2 linked regions of the Elephas maximus indicus genome follow. The protein of the gene in region 1 interacts with the protein of each later gene in a biochemical or structural test. Links are inferred from orthologs where the notes say so. Each region holds a gene or a part of one and is shown in the gene's direction. Other genes may lie near its edges.

Region 1 (9,652 bases):
GGCTGGGCCTCATCTCAGGACCTCTCTTTCACCAGGTTTTTTTTTTTTTTTTTTTTCTATAGCAGGGTAGCTGGTCTTACATGACAGCTCAGGGCTTGCAAAAGTTCAAAAGTGAAAGCTGCCAGGCTTTTTTCATGTGAGGCTGAGGACTAGCACAGCATCACTTCTGCACATTCTCTTGGCTAAAGCTAGTCACAGGGCTAGCCCAGATTTGATTTGGGTGGAGACGAGAAATGATTAGCTGAGAACCAGCTTTGGATGCTTAAGTTGGCTCTTCATAAAAACTGAGAAAAAGGTTCAGGAAGTGTTTGTGAACTTCAGGTTAAATAGGGGTCTTGGTGGATGTTTAGAATACACACTTGCTACTTATAGGTGCTTACTTGATAGTTGTATAATTGAAAATAAAAAAGTATACTGTGCAGAAATTTCTTCTACAGCATGAGTTTTTTCAACTTGAAAAGGATGTTGTTGGTATTATTTGGATTATTTAAATTGCTGTTGGTTATGTGAACTATCGTTGTTTGTGAAGGGTGTTGAGTGCCACACAGCTGATTTACTTGATGGTATTTGTGCTGTGTTGATTGGTGGTGGAGGGCGTAAGAATATCCAAAAAGTGCTGATTGTATTTTAGTGCTAATAGTGATACTATAAGGAAGGCCTCTACTCTTGAGCAAGAGTGAAGTGTGATAAAATGCTGGAATTATTCAACGATATTTAGATTTTCAGAGCTGTAATTATATCTATTTTGAAAAGCCTTTGTTCAGAAATTTTGCAGGATAATGAACTGAAATCGCATATCCGAAATATCCCCAACCCCCTTTTAAAAAAAGTATTTAAGAAATAATTTTTATATAATTCTTATAATATTTGTGATTAGAAGTACCTGTTGATCATGCAAGTATTTTTTGTTTGTTTGTTTTAACATATTTTCTTTTTTCTTCCCCTCTTAAGCCTGCTCAACCTTCTGATGAACCTGCAGAAAAGGCTGATGAACCGATGGAACATTAAGTGATAAAGCAGTCTATATATGTATCATCAAATATGTAAGAATGCAGGAAGAGAACTGGGTGACAGTAATCTGTACTTTAAGAATCAAAAGATGCAGAGTTGTAGAATGGTATGTTTTAGGAATCAGTCCAGATGTGAGCTTTTTGCAAACAACCTAATTGAAACCATGTGATGGGGTTCATTTTTTCTTTGAGAGGGCCTATATAATCATTTTCTAGAAAGTATAGGGTACCTGTACTAATGTTTTTATATGAAGAACATAGTGTCTTTGTGGTTTCAAAGACAACTATGAAATAAAATTGTTTCACTTTCTGGTGTATTGGGTATTTTATTTTTGTTTGTTTATTTTTTAAGTAGCTTCAACTGTAAATAGTAGTCTGGGATTACAACTGGTATTTGCCATGTTTGCCAAATTAAATTACCTTCTTTTTAGTGATGTGGAAAAATAATACTTCCTATCTATCACAGACTTAAAACAATTTCCCAATGTATGGACTGGCTGCATGAGAATCTCTGGATATATGGTTCATAATACAAATTCTTAATTAAAGCCTAAGAAACTACCACTTCCTAACAAATGTACCAAGATTATTAACATATGAGCTGCTTTTCTTTTCAACCAGCAGATGGCAGTAGTGATAGCTCTGATTTCAGTGTAGCCAACTAGTACAAAAATAAAATGGAAATTTTAATCTAAAACCATCATTTCCTCATCCTTCTAGCCCCACTCCAGCATAGTATTCGGACTGCCTTCCCATCATTCCCATGAGCAGGGCAGATTAACCAGTAAGCACGGTATGCACCAGCTTGCGGTAAGCAAGGGACATTAAGCAAGGTATGCAGGGGCTTAATTGTGCTTACTAATCTGTAGTGCACAGTTTCACTGGTTTTCAAAAGCCAGGTGACATTGTACACTACAGATTAGTAAAGAAGCACAATTAAACCTTGCTTATCAGGTACTCCATCCCTGCCTATGAGCTACATACCCAGATATTGCAGAATAACTTATATTTTTTGCAAATTAGAGGAAATGTGACTTTTGTGAAAAAATCAACGATACAAAACTTTTGCTGCTAAAAGCAAAGTTACAAAAAATAGGACCTAGGGTAATTAGTGTTAAATTGCTGAATGATCTCTCAGCTTGCGATGGAATCTGTGATGGCCAATAGAAACTGCTAACTGTCCCTCTGCCTCAACGGGTGCCCAGGGCAAGCACAGGCCACCCAGGGCACATACCCTACCTGTGACCACCGCCCCCCCAATTAGGCCTCTGGCTAAGAGGCATACCCACTGCCCACTGCCATCAAGTAGATTCCACTCATACCAACTCCATAGGGTTTCCAAGGCTGTAAGTCTCTATGGAAGCAAACTGCCACATCTTTCTCCTACTGAGCCAATGGTGGTTTCAAGCCACCCACCCTTTAGTTAGCAGCCAAGCACTTTAACCACTGTGCCAAGAGGCATAGAGGAGTTATTTTTTCTGAGATATTACATTTTTTAGAGAGGAGATGTTTGTTTATAGATAGGAACCTGGATTTTAATCCCAATTCTACCAATTAGCTGCTATTGGCTTTGGGCAGGTTACTTAGCCCTATTTTAAGGAAACCCTGGAGAATTACTGCGAAGATTAAAACAAAAAACCCACTGCTGTCGAGTCGATTCTAACTCATAGAGATCCTATAGAACAGAGTAGAACTGCCCCATAGTTTCCAAGGAGTACCTGGTGGATTTGACTGCTGACCTCTTGGTAAGCAGTGGTAGCACTTAACCACTATGCCACAAGGGTTTCGGTTGTGAAGATTAGACAGGAGAATTTATGTGAAAATGTTTTGTGAACTCTAAAGTTAGTAAAATGTTAAATTTTTTTTTCAGGTTGCTCAAAATTTTAAAAACTTTAGTGAGTTTAAGTCTCTGACTTCTTAAAGGGAGTGTGGTGAGAGAATCAGTGGCTGCCTTGCTGAGAGAAAGACCTCTTACTATACTGGAATTGGTGAGATGTTGGCCTCTACTCTAGAAGTAGCCTCAAGGGTTATCAGTCTGCCACTTAAGCTTGGGACTAGGCCACAGGTACCATGTGGCCATTTGATCTACAACCAACATCAAGCATGTGCAACTTTCACACACACACACAGAAATAACTAGTGAAGGAAAGGGACTCTTTCCACCGCCATCATTGCCAAAATGAGATTACAGCCTGGAGAAGAGTATAAGTGGGAAGTTTAATAATCTCTTTTCCTTAGCAAGGTCTCATGTCCCTTGTGCCTTTCATTGTGAGAGTGTCTGCCTTTGCTGAGTGATTCTATTTTTAAAGATAAAGACTATATGTGTGTGCATCTTTTGTGTTTTTTTTTTTTTTTTTGTACTTTTCGGTGCTCAGCTGAAAAGAAAACAATACAAAAAAAAAAAAAACAGTGATCTGTATTGTACTTCAGGGGCAGTTTTAGTAATCTTTTATACTACGTGATTTTGTTCTTATCCAGTGACTCTAGAACTTAAAATCCTCCCCACCCCAATAATATTCAGCTATACCATATGTACAAAATTCATTGTGGTGCCCTTTCGTGTTGTGTGTCTAGTCTGTTAATACTCAAAGTTATTCTATTTAATCTGTATTGAGTAATTATAAACAATAAAATTCCTGATAATGTCCCCTCTGTCAACAATTAGATGATACATAAAACCTATCCCCTTGATGTAAAGATAATCAGTTCACCAAGAATTTGGTGAACATTTATATGTGCAGCTCTGAAGAACTGGCATGGTTAAAAATAAAAGGCACTAAAGTAGGTAATAGGGTCAGGTTCTGGGTCTAGCTTTTTCAGTGTTTAACCACTGTGATTTTTGGGAGAGTCACTTCTCTCTAAGCGTCAATTTCCTAGACATCTAAATTATTACGATTTTTGAAATATGACAAGATCTTTGCTCTCAAATAATTTGTAACTAGAAAAGCATTCAAAATCCTGTAATTACTTGCTAGGATAAAAAGTCTCAAAACAAAGTGCATGTTGTATCAGGAAAAGAATTAGCGAGGCCATATAAGGTCCTGATAACTTCGACAAGGGCTGTATTCAAGGAAAAAAAAATGCACTGTCCAAGCCAACTTTAGGTGTAGACCTAAAATAAAGTTTTATAAGATATATTACATTTTCTTGCCTTTTCATATTTAGTTTCCTTAATGACTAGGGCTCACCTCGATAAATGTCATGCTTTATTCTGTAACAAAATGAGCCTTGGGCATCTGAAGTGGGTATGGTTGGTTCTGTACTATAGGTGGCTTCAAACTCCTGAGCTTTCTTATTGCTGAGTCTAGTTTTTTGTTTTGTTTTGTTTTGTTTTTTGGGGGGAGCACTAATTTTCTGCTGACAGACTGTCACTTGTTGCCAAATCAAATAGGATTGGGGACAAAATAACTGCATTTGTAAGGATTCTATGTTAAATACACAGAAAAGGAAAGGACTATTGATACATCTTGGATGGAGCTCAAAGGAATTATGCTGAGTCAAAATAGACTCAAAAGGTTACACTGTATGATTCCATTTATATAACATCCTTGAAATGACAATTATAGAGATAGAGAACATGTTAGTGGCTGTGACGGGTTAGGGACAAAGGTAGAGGGGGAGGTGACTGGCTGTGAAAGGGTACCAAGAGGGATCCTTGTCATGGAACTTTCCTCTATCTTGACTGTGGTAGTGGTTAAATGAATCTAAACTTGATAAAAGTGTATAGAACTAAATACACAAATGAGTGCATGTAAAGCTGGTGAAATCAATAAGGATGGGTAGATTGTATCAAAGCCAACTTCCTGGATTCGGGTGAAGGGTATATGGGATCTCTGTTATTTTACAGCCACATGTGGATCATCTCAAGATAAAGAGCTTAAAAAAAAAAAATGAATACACAGCATCAGAGGGCACTCGTAATTAAAGTGCAGTGAACACATAGACTTCGTGACATATTTTGGGTGCTCAAAGAATTTATTTTTTGCTTAATGTTTCCAAAAGGAGAAATCTCAAAATAGACAGATTCTAGATAGATGCAGCACTACAAGGACAGGTTCTGTCAAATCTCTTTGAATGTTTTGTAAAAGCCTCTCAATGTTTACTTGTTAACAATTTGCGGGGAAAAATTTTTGGGGGGGGCGGGGTAAAAAAAAAAAAGGAACCTCAAACGAGCAAAACCAAAAGTGCTGTGGCTGATCGTAGCTCTACCAATCTGTGGAGATTGGTAAAATATTTTTAAAATATTGACTGTCAGTCCCACGTTATACATAGTTTCCATAATTTTAATCTACTGGATGCTTGGAAGGGATTACGAAAAGGACTATTACTAAATAAAGAGAGCAGAAACATTATCAATGGGATTTTGATGTTCAAGCTACTCTAGCCCAAATGCAGAGGCTAAGATCCAGAGTACATTTTAAGAGCCGAAATGGATTTTCGAGAAAATCTAGTGTTTCTTATTAGAAGAACTGGAGTTACTATCCCAAATAGTAATTAGTTTCCCTCTAATTAATGGGTGAGTTAGAAAAGACTCTTGGGCTTCCAGTTCCCAGTTCAGAGCTTTATCCACCGGACCACAAAACCTTGTAAAATATCTCCCCTATCTAGCACTTGGCTATTACACTTCCCGGAAAAAGAAACAATTTCCAAGTAGCGTTTAAGTGACCATAGCGCTCGGTTTAGCTTTGCTTGTAGGGAAAACTCAAAGTATCTGCTACCACTCTCGGCGACCTGAATCATCCGCGGACAAGGGGCGGGGGCTAGAGCCGGACCCACTTGCGGCGCGCATCTGCAGGACGGAGAAGGCATGTCCTCTCTGGGCTGCCGTAGGTGCTAGGTGGCTGCGGCCTGGACCGCCTCCCCGCCCTCTTCCACGTCAGCCAAGGACTCGGGAGCTGCCGCCGCTGCCGCGGTTTGGAACCGGAATAGACGGTCCCGCCGTTGCCCCAGCTGCTGCCCCTCAAAGCCAGGTAGCAGGCCACTGGCCCCCAACCCTGGAGGCGTGGAGGGCCGGACAGAGCTGGAAGAACTGGCTTTCTAGCAGGAAGATGCGGAAGGGGAGCGACTAGGCCGCTCGGGTCGGGGCCTTGCGAAGGGGAACGGGGGGCTGGGGAGCTCTGGACCGAACGCCTCATCCCGGTTTGCTTACTGGCCGGGGGTCTTCTCCCTAGGACCCCGAAGTTCGCCCTTTCAAGCCAGAATCTGCTTTGCAGGAGGAAAAGAAAAAGGGGGCGTGGGGTGGGGGCGGGGGTGCAGCGCAGGGATTGAGGGACCGACAGAAGCGATTAAGTGCTTTAAGATTTTGATGTAGTGTTCGTGTACAGGGGCTCTTAACGTGAACAGGTCTATTGTATAAAATGTAAAAAATCACTGTTTGTGAGTTGGTGAGATGGAACTAGAGGACTGGCAATATATTGTGGACCTTAATTCTGCAGTACAGCATTCTCAAGCCGTGGGGGGGGGGGGGGGGATAATAAACAGGCTGGGGCTGACAGGTGCGTTTTGTATTATATTAGGACTTGTTTTATGGAAACACAGTATAGATTGACTTCCCCTTTTAATATTTTAAAGTTATAAGCCAAACTAAATGAACTTTAGACAGTAAAGATCACAGTAGTTATTGTTTTTGTTTTTTACAGTGTAATGATATCCTGTATTTATTTTTCTAGATTTTCTACCTTCTTTAAATTTTGTATCGAGGGTCGATTATAACCTGAAATCATGACAGCTGCTGAGAACGTGTGCTATACGTTAATTAACGTGCCAATGGATTCAGAACCACCATCGGAAATTAGCTTAAAGAATGATCTAGGTGAATTTTAGTAATATTTTGAAAATGAAATGGAAAAGAAAGGATAGTGAAAACTAATTTGCGTTCTAAGTTCCTTTATAATTAGAAATGCTTAATTTTGTCTGAATATTTCGTTGTAGAATCTCTTTGGTAGACCTTTTGTCTTATTTAAAATGAAAAGTTGTGACCTTTAGACTTGCAATATTGGATTTTGAAGTAGAACATTTCAGTTTAGTAAAAGCTAAAGAAACATAATGGTTTAGTTGTTAGATATTCCTCAAAATAACATAATAGCCTTATGCAGTTAAGCATATTATACTTAAATGTATCAGGCAGTGGTCTGTAGATAATAGGCTGATAATGTGTATTTGAATGTCTTAATTCCTTTGGGAAATTAAACTACACGTCACTTGAATTATAAAACCAAAAGGACTTTATTCTGTGGGTTTCCCACTTGCTGAACCAATAAAGTCAATAATGGAATAAAAATGTATTTCCCAGAAAGGTTAAGCTTTTCCTTTTAAAAAGTATTCTGCACAGAAGAAAACACAAACCTAAAAGTATATACTGTTTCCTATTTGTGAGTGAGTCCATAAAGAAAAAAAATTTTGAGAAGTAATGCACATTCTAAGGTAATGATCCTTGTTTAATTGAACTACTAAACACATATATCTTAAACTGATAACTACCAAACAGTAGAGTGAAAATTATATTTCAAAACCTGAAGGTATCTTTCAGAATGTAGTTTGCAGTTTGATAAAAGACTTAATATTTTACTGGCTTATTTCCACCTTTTACTCAGCAGTAGTGGAATATCTCCTAATTTTAGGCTACTTTATATTAGATTTCTGTTGCAATCTGGATATCCTCGTGGCGTATACTGGTTAAGAGCTACAGCTGCTAACCAAAAGGTTGGCAGTTCAAATCCACCAGACACTCACTGGAAACTCTACAGGACAGTCCTGCTCTGTCCCGTAGGGTCACTATGAGTTGAAATCCACTCGAGGGCAGTGTTTTTTTTTTTCTTTAATTGCAGTCTGTTTTTAGGGAGGAAACCCTGGTGGCATAGTGGTTAAGTGCTATAGCTGCTAACCAAAGGTCGGCAGTTCAGATCCGCCAGGTGCTCCTTGGAAACTATGGGGCAGTTCTACTTTGTCCTATAGGGTCGCTGTGAGTCAGAATTGACTCGACGGCACTGGGTTTGGTTTTTTGGGTTATTTTTCGGGAAAAGAAACCGTCTTTTATGACACTTAAACTGATACCATTATACACAAAAGTCACATTTTTTTTTTTTTTTTAACCATTCACGTTTGGTAGTAAAAGTTTTCATCACTAGATGCCTAGAATGCTTAAAGTTATAGCTGGACTGGTAAAGAACAAAATCTTGCTTGGAATTGGAATAATATCCTTAATTCCATCTGCCTTAACTACCCTCCCCAACCCATAAATAAATAAGTAGTCTCAAATTTTGTGTTTTTTATTTCCTTTAGCTCAGATAATTGAGATGAGAAAGAATTTTAGGGCAAGTTTCTAGTATTGAGTAACAAATATATTTTTGTTTGGTGAAATATTGGGTTGCTTTAACTATTTACCTTTTACTTTGAATCTCATTACTTTTAATCCGTATGTATTATTTTCCCCTGTTAGTAATGGTTGCAACTTTGAGATAGTACACTGGTAAAAAAACTGCGTTGAATTCAGAAGCACTTAACATAACAGCATCTATATACATTTTGAAAAATAACCACATGTGTGTTTGAGACATATATTCCCGGTATTCCTGTAGATTCATGGACTCTGCATGGCCCATTGATTAGGGACTAGAGAGCTGATCAGTGTCTTCATATTTTATTTAAAGAATCTGAGGTTCAGAGATAAATAACTTGTGCCGAGATACACAGCCTATTCGTGGCAAAGCAAGGTAGATAACCCATATCCCTTGGGTCAGTACCTTTATGACCGTTGTCTCTAACAAAGTAAAATGTTTTCTTAATTGCTTTTAAAATTATTTGAGGAATTTTCTTTCAAAATAATTGTGTTTTTTGTTTCATTTTTAATTTTTGAATTAGAAAAAGGAGATGTGAAGTCAAAGACTGAAGCTTTGAAGAAAGTAATCATAATGATTCTGAATGGTGAAAAGCTTCCTGGACTTCTGATGACAATCATTCGTTTTGTGCTCCCACTTCAGGATCACACCATCAAAAAATTACTCCTGGTGTTTTGGGAAATTGTTCCTAAAACAACTCCAGATGGGAGACTTTTACATGAAATGATCCTTGTTTGTGATGCATATAGAAAGGTAAACCAGCCAATGTATAATTATTTCTGAATATTGCTTTGATTTTAGATAATTATAAAATTATCTAAAATCAAATATACTTTGTTTTAATTTTTAAAATTAAATCTTGAATAAAATGGTAAGTTGCAGATAATCGAAATTGTTTAAAATGTTTTTATATATGAAAGTTATAGTTACTGTAAAATGTTCTAATTGTTTTTTCTATGTATTTTTATGTATATGTGTTATTAATAAAAAACAGTGACACATAGAATAGAAGACATTGATAACATAGGTAAAAACCGCTTTAATCGACAGGAATCTGAAGGAAGCTGTCTGATAATGTAGGTCTTTTTCCTCAAACCTATGTTCTGATTTTTTCAATGGAAATTTTTCTATTTAAAAAGTGGAGTTTTATTTTGTAAAAAGCCAAAACTCACCATTTCATATTTAAATTTTTATATCAGGATCTTCAGCATCCTAATGAGTTTATTAGAGGATCTACTCTTCGTTTTCTCTGCAAATTGAAAGAAGCAGAGTTGTTAGAACCTTTAATGCCAGCTATTCGTGCTT
Region 2 (9,626 bases), on another chromosome or scaffold:
TAAAAAAAAAAAATTTTTTTTTTTTTTTTTTTTATGAAATCTCTCAGAGGCGAATGAGACAGGATTAGGCTAGAGCAGGGCCACTTGGGCCCCTGGCACATAGGCTGGGAGAAGGTCAAACAGGACAGACTATAGAATAAACAGCCCGACCTACTGGCAGTGGTGCAACCATAACCTACCTCCTGGAGATTAGAACAGAACACACAGGCCCTGTGGGGTTAAATGTTCCAGCTGTGGGGTGAAATTAACTGAAATATTCTAGGATGTTGCAAATAAACTGTTGATGTAGCTCTTGCAGGTCTCCACAGGTGCAGAGCATGCACAAAAGAAGTAATAGCGACTGCTGTTTGACCTTCCCTGGCCCACTGGAGGGGCAATGTGACGAAGGGAACCAGTGCACTGGTGTCACATCCCAATGAGTCATGTCAAGGGGAGCCAAAGGGCTTCCATCCTGAAGAAATCCTGTGTGCGCACCCGCATTTACATAACTCAGTCCCTTCTCAAAAATCTCTGCCCTTTCCCTGAAAACGTCATGAATAAACACCAAGACCCCTAGTTGTTGAAACCCTTAAATACCTGGCTCTTAGGCAAATTAGGGAGACAGTCGCTCTGAAGGTTCTAGCCCTTACTGTCTCCTTTTGCTAGCTGCTGGCAAAATAAATTTGCTGGTGTGACTCCAGGCTGTCTCACTAGTCTTACTAGGTGGTGTGAATCTGGTTGGGTTCGACTGAGGTAGGGGTTTCGGTAAGAGCATGACATAGTTTATAAAGAAAATGTTGTATATTCTGCATTGGGGAGTAGCGTCTGGGATCTTAAAAGCTGTGAGCAGCCATCTAAGATACTCCACTGGTCTCACTCAGTTGGGAGCAAGGGAGAATTAAGAAAACTAAAGATACAAGGGAAAGATTAGTCCAAAGGACTAAGGGATCATCACTACCATGATTCCAGTGCAACTAGGAGGTGCCTGGCTACCACCACTGACTGCTCTGACAGGGATAACAACAGAGGGTCCCAGATAGAGCTGGAGAAAAATGTAGAAGAAAATTCTAACTCACACAAAAAAGACCAGGTTTACTAGAAACTTAGAGTATGGCCCCTGCACACCCTTTTAGCTCAATAATTAAGGCAATCCTGAGGTTCACCCCTTAGCCAAAGATTAGACAGGCCCATAAAGCAAAATGAGACCAGCCCAGGGGCAATGACTAGAAGGTAGGAAGGGGCAGGAAAACTGGTAATAGTGAACCTAAGATCGAGAAGGGAGAGTGTTGACATGTTGTGGGGCTGTTAACCAATGTCATAAAACAATATGTGTACTAGCTGTTTAATGAGAAGCTAGTTTGTTCTCTAAACCTTCATCTAAAAAAAAAGAAAACAGACTAATAACCCAATGTAAAAAATGGGCAAAGAATATGAACAGACACTTCACCACAGAAGACATTCAGGTGAGTAACAGACACAGGAGGGAATGCTCGAGATCAGTAGCCATCAGAGAAATACAAATCAAAACTGAAATGAGATACTATCTCACCCCGACATTACTGGCACTAATTTAAAAAAAAAAAAAAACAGAAAATAACAAATGTTGGAGAGGTTTTGGGGAGACTTCAACTCTTACGCACTGCTAGTAGGAATGTAAAATGGTACAACCACTATGGAAAATGATAGGGCACCTCACTAAAAGGCTATAAATAGAGATACTGTATGATCCAGAAGTTCTACTCCTAGGAATATATCCTAGAGAAATAAGAGCTGTCACATGACTATGCACACCCATGTTCATTGCAGCATTTTCACAATAACAAACAGATGAAAACAACCTAAATGCCCATCAATGGATGAGTGAACAAATTATGGTACATACACACAATGGAGTACTACCCAATGATAAAGAACAATGATGAATCCTCGAAACATTTCATAACATGGATGAATCTGGAGGGCATTAAGCTGACTGAAATAAGTCAATCACAAAAGGACAAATATTGTAGAAGACCACTATTATAAAAACTCAAGAAAAGGTTTACGTGCAGAAAAAAACAAACAAAACAATCTTTGATGGTTCTGAGGGAGGGGAGAGGTGGGGAGGGAAAAACACTGACTAGATAATAGATAAGTGGTAACTTTGGGGAAGGGTAAAACAGTACGCAATACTGGGGAAGTCAGTACAACTTGACCAAGGCAAAGACATAGAAGCTTCACAGATACATCCAAACTCTCTGAGGGACCAAGTTACTGGGCTGAGGGTGGGGACCATAGTCTCAGGGGACATCTAGCTCAATTGGCATAACATAGTTTATAAAGAAAATGTTTACATCTGACTGTGGTGAGAAGTGTCTGGGGTCTTAAAAGACTGCAAGCGGCCATGAAAGATACATCTATTGGTTCCATCTTGGCTGGAGCAATGGAGAATGAAGAAAACTGAAGACACAGGGAAAGATTAGTACAAAGGACTAATGGACAACAACTACCATAACCTCCAGCAAACTAAGCCCAGAACTACTAGATGGTACCCAGCTACCACCACAGACTACTCTGACAGGGATCACAATAGAGTGTCCTGGATAGAGAAGGAGAAGAATGTAGAACAAAATTCAAATTCACAAAAAAGACCAGATTTGCTGGTCTGACAGAGACTGGCGAACCCCCTGAGACTATGGCCTCTGACACCTTTTTAACCCAGTACTGAAGTCACTCCTGAGGTTCACCTTTCAGCTCTGGTGGCATAGTGGTTAAGAGCTACTGCTGCTAACCAAAAGGTCAGCAGTTCGAATCCACCAGGTGCTCCTTGGAAACCCTATGGGGCAGTTCTACTCTGTCCTTAGGGTTACTAGGCGTTGGAATCGACTCAGTGACAACAGGTTTGGTTTATAGAGTAAACAATAACACATTCGAGGAAAGTGCTTCGTAGTACAATCACATTGTTGTTGTTAGGTGCCGCCCAGTCGGTTCCGACTCATAGCAACCCTATGCACAACAGAACGAAACACTGCCCGGTCCTGCGCCATCCTCAAAATCGTTGTTATGCTTGAGCTCGTTGTTGCAGCCACTGTGTCAATCCACCTCGTTGAGGGTCCTCCTCTTTTCTGCGGACCCTGTACTCTGCCAAGCATTGTGTCCTTCTTCAGGGACTGATCCCTCCTGACAACATGTCCAAAGTATGTAAAACGCAGTCTCGCCATCCTTGCTTCTAAGGAGCATTCTGGCCACACTTCTTTCAAGACAGATTTGTTCGTTCTTTTGGCAGTCCATGGTGTATTCAATACTCTTCGCCAACACCACAATTCAAAAGCGTCAACTCTTCTTCGGTCTTCCTTATTCGTTGTCCAGCTTTCACATGCATGTGATGCCATCGAAAATACCATGGCTTGGGTCAGGCGCACCTTAGTCTTCAGGGTGACATCTTTGCTCTTCAACACTTTGAAGAGGTCCTTTGCAGCAGATTTACCCAATGCAATGTGTCCTTTGATTTCTTGACTGCTGCTTCCATGGCTGCTGATTGTGGATCCAAGTAAAATGAAATCCTTGACAACTTCAATCTTTTCTCCATTTATCACGATGTTACTCATTGGCCCAGTTGTGAGGATTTTTGTTTTCTTTATGTTGAGGTGTAATCCATACTGAAGGCTGTGGTCTTTGATCTTCATTAGTAAGTGCTTCAGGTCCTCTTCACTTTCAGCAATCAAGGTTGTGTCACCTGCATAACGCAGGTTGTTAATGAGTCTTCCTCCAATCCTGATGCCCCGTTCTTCTTCATATAGTCCAGCTTCTCGTATTATTTGTTCAGCACACAGATTAAATAGGTGTGGTGAAAGAATACAACCCTGACGCACACCTTTCCTGACTTTAAACCGATCAGTATCCTCTTGTTCTGTTCAATCACATGTACCAGACTAAATGCGCACACCAGCCCAAAAACAAAGACAGAGGGCAGGAAGGGACCGGAAAATTGGATGAATGGAAATGGGGAACCCAGGATGGAGAAGCGGAGAGTGTTGGTACATCTTGGGGTTGGCCACCAATGTCACAAAACAAATGAGAAATTAATTCGCTCTATAAACTTTCACCTAAAGCACACGCACACACACAAGAAAAACCTCACCATTTTAAAGCGTACAATTCAATGATTTTTAGTATATTTGGCAAGGTTGTGCAGCCGCCATCTGTTACCTAATTCTGGGACATTTTCATTCAAATCTTGTACCCATCAGCATTAATTCCCAGTCTCCACCCCCATCTCACCTCACTCCCACCTCTTGCAACCACTAATCTACTTTCTGTCTCTATGAATTTGTTTATTCTGGACATGTCATACAAATGGAATCATACAATAAGTGGCTATTTTGTGCCTGGCTTTTTTTACTCAGTATATTTCCAAAGTTCAGCCATGCTGTAGCATGTATCAGTACTTCATACCTTTTTGCGGCTGAATAATATTCCATTGTATGGATATGTCACTTTTTTTACCCAATTATCAGTTAATGGACATTTGGGGTTTTCCACTTTTGGGCTATATGATGCCATGAACATTAGTGTACAAATTTTTGTGTGGACATATGATGGAATTGCTGGATCACATGGTAACTCTGTTTAACTTTTTGAGGACCTGTTTTCCAAAGCAGCTACCCTATTTTATATTCCAACTAGCAATGTGTGGTGGTGTTGTTGTTAGGTGCTGTGGGGTTGATTCGAACTCAGACTGACCCTACATACAAGAGAAGGAAACACTGCCCAGTCCTGCTCCACCCTCACAATTGTTGCTATGTTTGAGTCCATTGTTGTAGCCACTGTGTCACTCCATATCATTCAGCACTGACCCTCTACTTTACCATACGGTCACTATGAGTCAGAATCAACTCGATGGCAATGGGTTTTGGTTTATTTTACCAAGCATGATGTCCTTCTCCAGGGACTGGTCCCTCCTGATAACATGTCCAAAGTACGTGAGACAAAGTCTTGCCATCTTTGCTCCTAAGGAGCATTCTGGCTGTACTTCTTCCAAGACAGATTTGTTTGTTCTTCTGGCAATCCATGGTACATTCAATATTCTTTGCCTACATAATAATTCAAAGCCATCATTGTAGGAGGATTTTAATTTCTCCATATCCTCCACAACACTTGCTATTGTCCATCTTTCTTAATGTAACCATTCTAGTAGGGGTGAAGTCATAGCTAGTTGTGGTTTTGATGTACATTTCACTAATGACTATAGATATGGAGCACCTTTTCATGTGCTTATTGGCCATTTGTATCTCTTCTTTGAAGAAATGTCTCTTCAAACCTTTTGCCCATTTTTAAATTGTGTTGTCTTTTTATTGTTGAGTTATAAGAATTCTTTATATATTTTGGATACTAGCGCCTTGTGCACATGGGTTATTTTGAATATTAAATTATATAGTGTCTATGAGAGCGGCTTTATAAAATGTTTCAGAGGTGACTCAAACTGAGGCGATAACAAACAGTGAAAAGACAGATGTATGCAAGTTCCACGTCTGCAGGCGAGCCGGGACGTAACCTGCGCGTGGGGCTTGCAGCCGGGTATCCTCAATTTCCCCACCCCACCAAGCCCCGCCCTCCGTCCTTTGACCCGCGCCGTTTCCGGTTGGAGACGTGGCTCGGGACCGCCATCTTGGCAAGAAGCGAAGCGGCGGCGGCTCCTGTCAGGGGGGCGGCAGGTCCGGAGCGGCCGGTGCTCCCCTTCCCCTAACCCCAGCCCTCTGCCCAGTGCAGCCGGAGCGTGGGTGCGCCCCACCACCGCCGTCACCATGGTAAGACCCAAGCCGGGCTCGAACTCTCGGGGTCTGGGCCTCACTCGCCCCCTCTCACTGCCGGCCGGGCTGGTACGGGGACCAGAGGAGCCGCGCCCCTAGGGCCTCGAGCCAGGCGCCCTCCTCGGGCTCGGGCAGCGGTGTGGCCTACCCCCGCTCTTGGCCTCCGGGAGGCCCGAGGGAGTTGACGCCAGTCCCTCTGTGGTCGCACCCTCCCCACACCCCAACCGGCTGGACTCTTCTCTAGACCCGGCAGCTCGGACGGGGCAGGGTCTTGGCTCTGCGAGGACCTTGTCGTCGATGTCCTCTGGGCTCTGCGCTGCGGACTTCGGCGCTACTGCCGGGTCGCTTCCGTGGACGCTTCGGCTCAGCAGCATAGGCCTCTCCTGAGGGGGCTTCTCTTCCTTCTGTGTTCAGCTTGTCTCTCATCCCTGGTGTTTGATAGGCCATTGATGTAGAAATACAAATGGGTTGGTGTTCAGGACTTTGGTTTGTCCGATTGGGGGAAATGGCATAGACCGGGGAGGAGTAACTTCTAACACTAATTTGTAGGATCCTGTGAGTCGGAATCGACTCGACGGCACTGGGTTGGGTTTGGTTTTTGGTTAGGGCTCCTGAAAACTTCGACCACTTTTATAGAACCTGCTTGTATCCATTTGTCTTTGTGACTGAGCGTACGCTGGGGAAATGTCAGTCAGTTACCGGAAGACAGGATTTCTGTCTTCAAGGCATTTATTGTTCAGGTGAAGAAAATATGTACGTGGCTTATGATTGATTAGATGTCTCACAGGACAAGGGGTAAAGGGCTGGGTGGGCCTTACGCTGAGACCTGTTACATAGCCTTTAGTTGCATTATCTTTGTGCTCTCATCCATTGTAGAGATGGAAAAAATTAATGCAGGTGAGAATAGGACAAAACACGACAATGTTGATTCCACTGAATCTTGCTTTATCACTACTGATTTGTGGACATTGATGAAGTAGAAGAAATTAGTCTGTTCCAAACAAGCTACTGAAGAATTTTTTAGGGCACCTTATGCCTTTCAGTCTTTTAAAGGGCGTTCTTTTTTTTTTTTTTTTAATTCTTTTTTTGCCAATAGATTAATAATTTGCTTTAAAGCATCTTCCTAACTCCTTGAGGATGGCAGTATAATTTGGTGCTATTCATAGTAAGTGCTATCAACAATTTTTTAGGTGAAAACCTGGGTGGTGTTGGGATTCATGCTTGGGTTTTAAACCACTGAAAGGTTTGATTCATAGAACTTTTGTGTTACACACAAAATATCCAAAAACTTTTTTTTTTTTTTTTTCAATTCTACTAGGAGGCTTAGTATCCAGACAGTGATTTTTAAACTCCTTTTCCTTTTACGCACTGGAAGTATTTGTAGTGCGTTTTAGAGCATATACTTTTAATAGCAAAGTTAAAGCCTTGTATTATATAAATCAAATATAGATAATCTGTATAAAAACCTTGCTTGTTAAAAGGTCATTGGAACTTAGTAGTTTTAATTCACCAATAACTGAGGAATGGTAAAGCCGTAGGTATTGAGCATACAATTTTGTACAGATTTTGTAAAAATACATTTTGTATACTCAATAAAGTATACATTTTATATGTTATTTTGACATATGTGTACATACATACAGTTGTGACCTGTTTAAATATTCATATATTTCTGAATTATTTGGGAATTGGCATGATTCAGATACCCACATATTTGTATATTCGGGAGAACAACTTAATCTCAGTCCATTCTGCTCTGTAGAGTCCTAAGACATTGGCATTATTTCTGTGCAGTGTCTTTGAATCCTCCTCCTTTATGACAGTAAAAATATCCAAATAGGGTAAAATTTTGTCCTTGTATTGTTAGGACTTCTTTGAACTAAAAGTTCTATCAAAACTTCTAAAAGTTGATTTTTTTTTCCTCAACATTTTATTATAAAATTTTCAAACATAAGAAAAGTTGAAAGGGCTTTACAGTGAACACCCATATGTCTGCCAGCTAGATTCTATAACCAGCATTTTACCCTCCTTGTTTTATCACACATTTAATCATCCCTCCATGCATCTTTTTTTCTGCATTTCAAAGTAAGGTGCAGATATCTGCACATAAAAGTTGGTTTTGAAAAATAAGTGTTTCTTTTGGCTTTAGTTGGAGCCTTGGTTAAGAGCTCAGCTGCTAACCAAAAAGCCAGCAGTTCAAGTCCACCAGCTCCTCCTTGGAAATTCTGCTCCAGTCGACTCAGCGGCAGTGGGTTTGGTTTGGTTTTTGGTTTGGGCCTTAGTTACTGAAGTATATGCAGAATGCCCTAGACTACACAGTCTGAGTATATAGGTGAACAAATGCAAAAGCAGGTGGCTTATGATGGCTGTTAGAAAATGAAATAATGGGATCTTTTGATTGGATCTTTTTTCTAGTTTTTTGCAAATTAGTGAGAAAATATTCTTAACATTAGATAATGTTATAATCAGTTCTTTTTCTTAATAAACTTACATTTGAACGCATAAAGTTGTTATTTAAGTCTTTAATGGTAGCAAGCCATCTGTGAAATCTTTGCTTATCTACAGAGTGTTGTTCTTTTCTTATTTGCTCAGAATAGGCAGTGAGTAAACTTACTAGTAAACTTACTCATTAGGACCCTAGTGTTCCTAAAACCACTTATGGTGGTGGTTGCATTAAATAGAAATGATAGTAGATTCAGTTCCAAAAAGTCATTAGTTATTGGAAAGCTAGATTTGGGCCTTGCATAGCTAATCTAACGGTGCCCTGGTGGTGTAATGGTTAAGCACTTGGCTGCTAACCAAAAGGTGGGCAGTTGAAACCCACCAACGGCTGCGAGAGAAAATCCTGGCTATCTGCTCCTGTCAAGATTACAGCCAATCAGCCTGGTGCTAGGCTCTGCCAAGGAACACAACAGAGAGTCCCTGACTGAGGTGGAGAAGTGTGGAACAGAACTCAACTCACATAAAAAGACTAGACTTACGGTCTGACTGAGACTGGAGGAACCCCCAAGGCCATGGCCCTCGGAAACTATTAACCTGGAACTAAAACCATTCCCGAAGCCCACTCTTCAGACAAGGATTACACTGGACTATAAAACATAAATAATACTCGTGAAGAGTGTGCTGCTTAGTTCAACCAGATACAGGAGACCAAATAGGTGGCTCCACGCCAGAGGCAGGATGAGAAGGCAGGAAGGGACAGGAACTGACTGGATGGACACAGGAAACCCTGGGTGGAAAGGAGAGTATTGTAGGGATTGCAGCTAGTGTCACATGACAATATGTGTATAAAAAGTATAAGGGATGAACTTGAGCTGTAAAGTTTCGCCTAAAGTACAATTAAAAAAAAAAGATACAGCCAAGAAAATCCCGTTGCACTGTACTCTGTCACATGGAGTCACTATGAGTTGAATCAACTCAGTGGCACCCAACAACAACAAATGGGTAATCTGCACCTGCTGGGGGGAGAAACTGAAGTCTTGCATAGTAATAACCACGACCGTCTGGTCGGTTTGAACTGCTGACCTTTCGGTTAGCAGCCAAGTGCTTAACCCACTGTGCCACCAAGGCTCCTTTGCACAATAATAACAGATCCCAATTAAGCAATTATTATTTTTTGCCTTCTTCATAAACAGTACAGCAGCTGTACAGCTGTTCTTTATGTATCTTTTTTTAACTTGTTATTTGAAGGAATAGCAAGAATGAAAAAGATTTTCTTGAATTTACATTGATTTGCCATCTGCTTGTGGTGGTGCAGTGGTTAAGAACTCTGCTGCAAACCAAAAGGTCGGCAGTTCGAATCCACCAGCTGCTCCTTGGAAACCCTATGGAGCAGTTCTACTCTCTCCTATAGGATGG

Evidence for each region.
Region 2: the proteins of COPB1 (region 1) and ARCN1 form a complex in vitro, tested with the Homo sapiens proteins (2 studies listed by BioGRID). The link is inferred for Elephas maximus indicus from reciprocal best matches to the Homo sapiens genes COPB1 and ARCN1.

What each region holds. Positions count from the first base shown.
Region 1 is NC_064825.1:69,832,357-69,842,008, reverse strand, and holds the start of COPB1 (coatomer subunit beta), read left to right. Parts: upstream 1-5,862; 5' UTR 5,863-5,980; intron 5,981-6,679; 5' UTR 6,680-6,731; coding exon 6,732-6,822; intron 6,823-8,870; coding exon 8,871-9,100; intron 9,101-9,546; coding exon 9,547-9,652. Other genes in the region: PSMA1 (proteasome subunit alpha type-1), read left to right, coding at 952-1,008. UniProt on the Homo sapiens protein: The coatomer is a cytosolic protein complex that binds to dilysine motifs and reversibly associates with Golgi non-clathrin-coated vesicles, which further mediate biosynthetic protein transport from the ER, via the Golgi up to the trans Golgi network.
Region 2 is NC_064835.1:11,059,344-11,068,969, forward strand, and holds the start of ARCN1 (coatomer subunit delta), read left to right. Parts: upstream 1-5,597; 5' UTR 5,598-5,762; coding exon 5,763-5,765; intron 5,766-9,626. UniProt on the Homo sapiens protein: Component of the coatomer, a cytosolic protein complex that binds to dilysine motifs and reversibly associates with Golgi non-clathrin-coated vesicles, which further mediate biosynthetic protein transport from the ER, via the Golgi up to the trans Golgi network.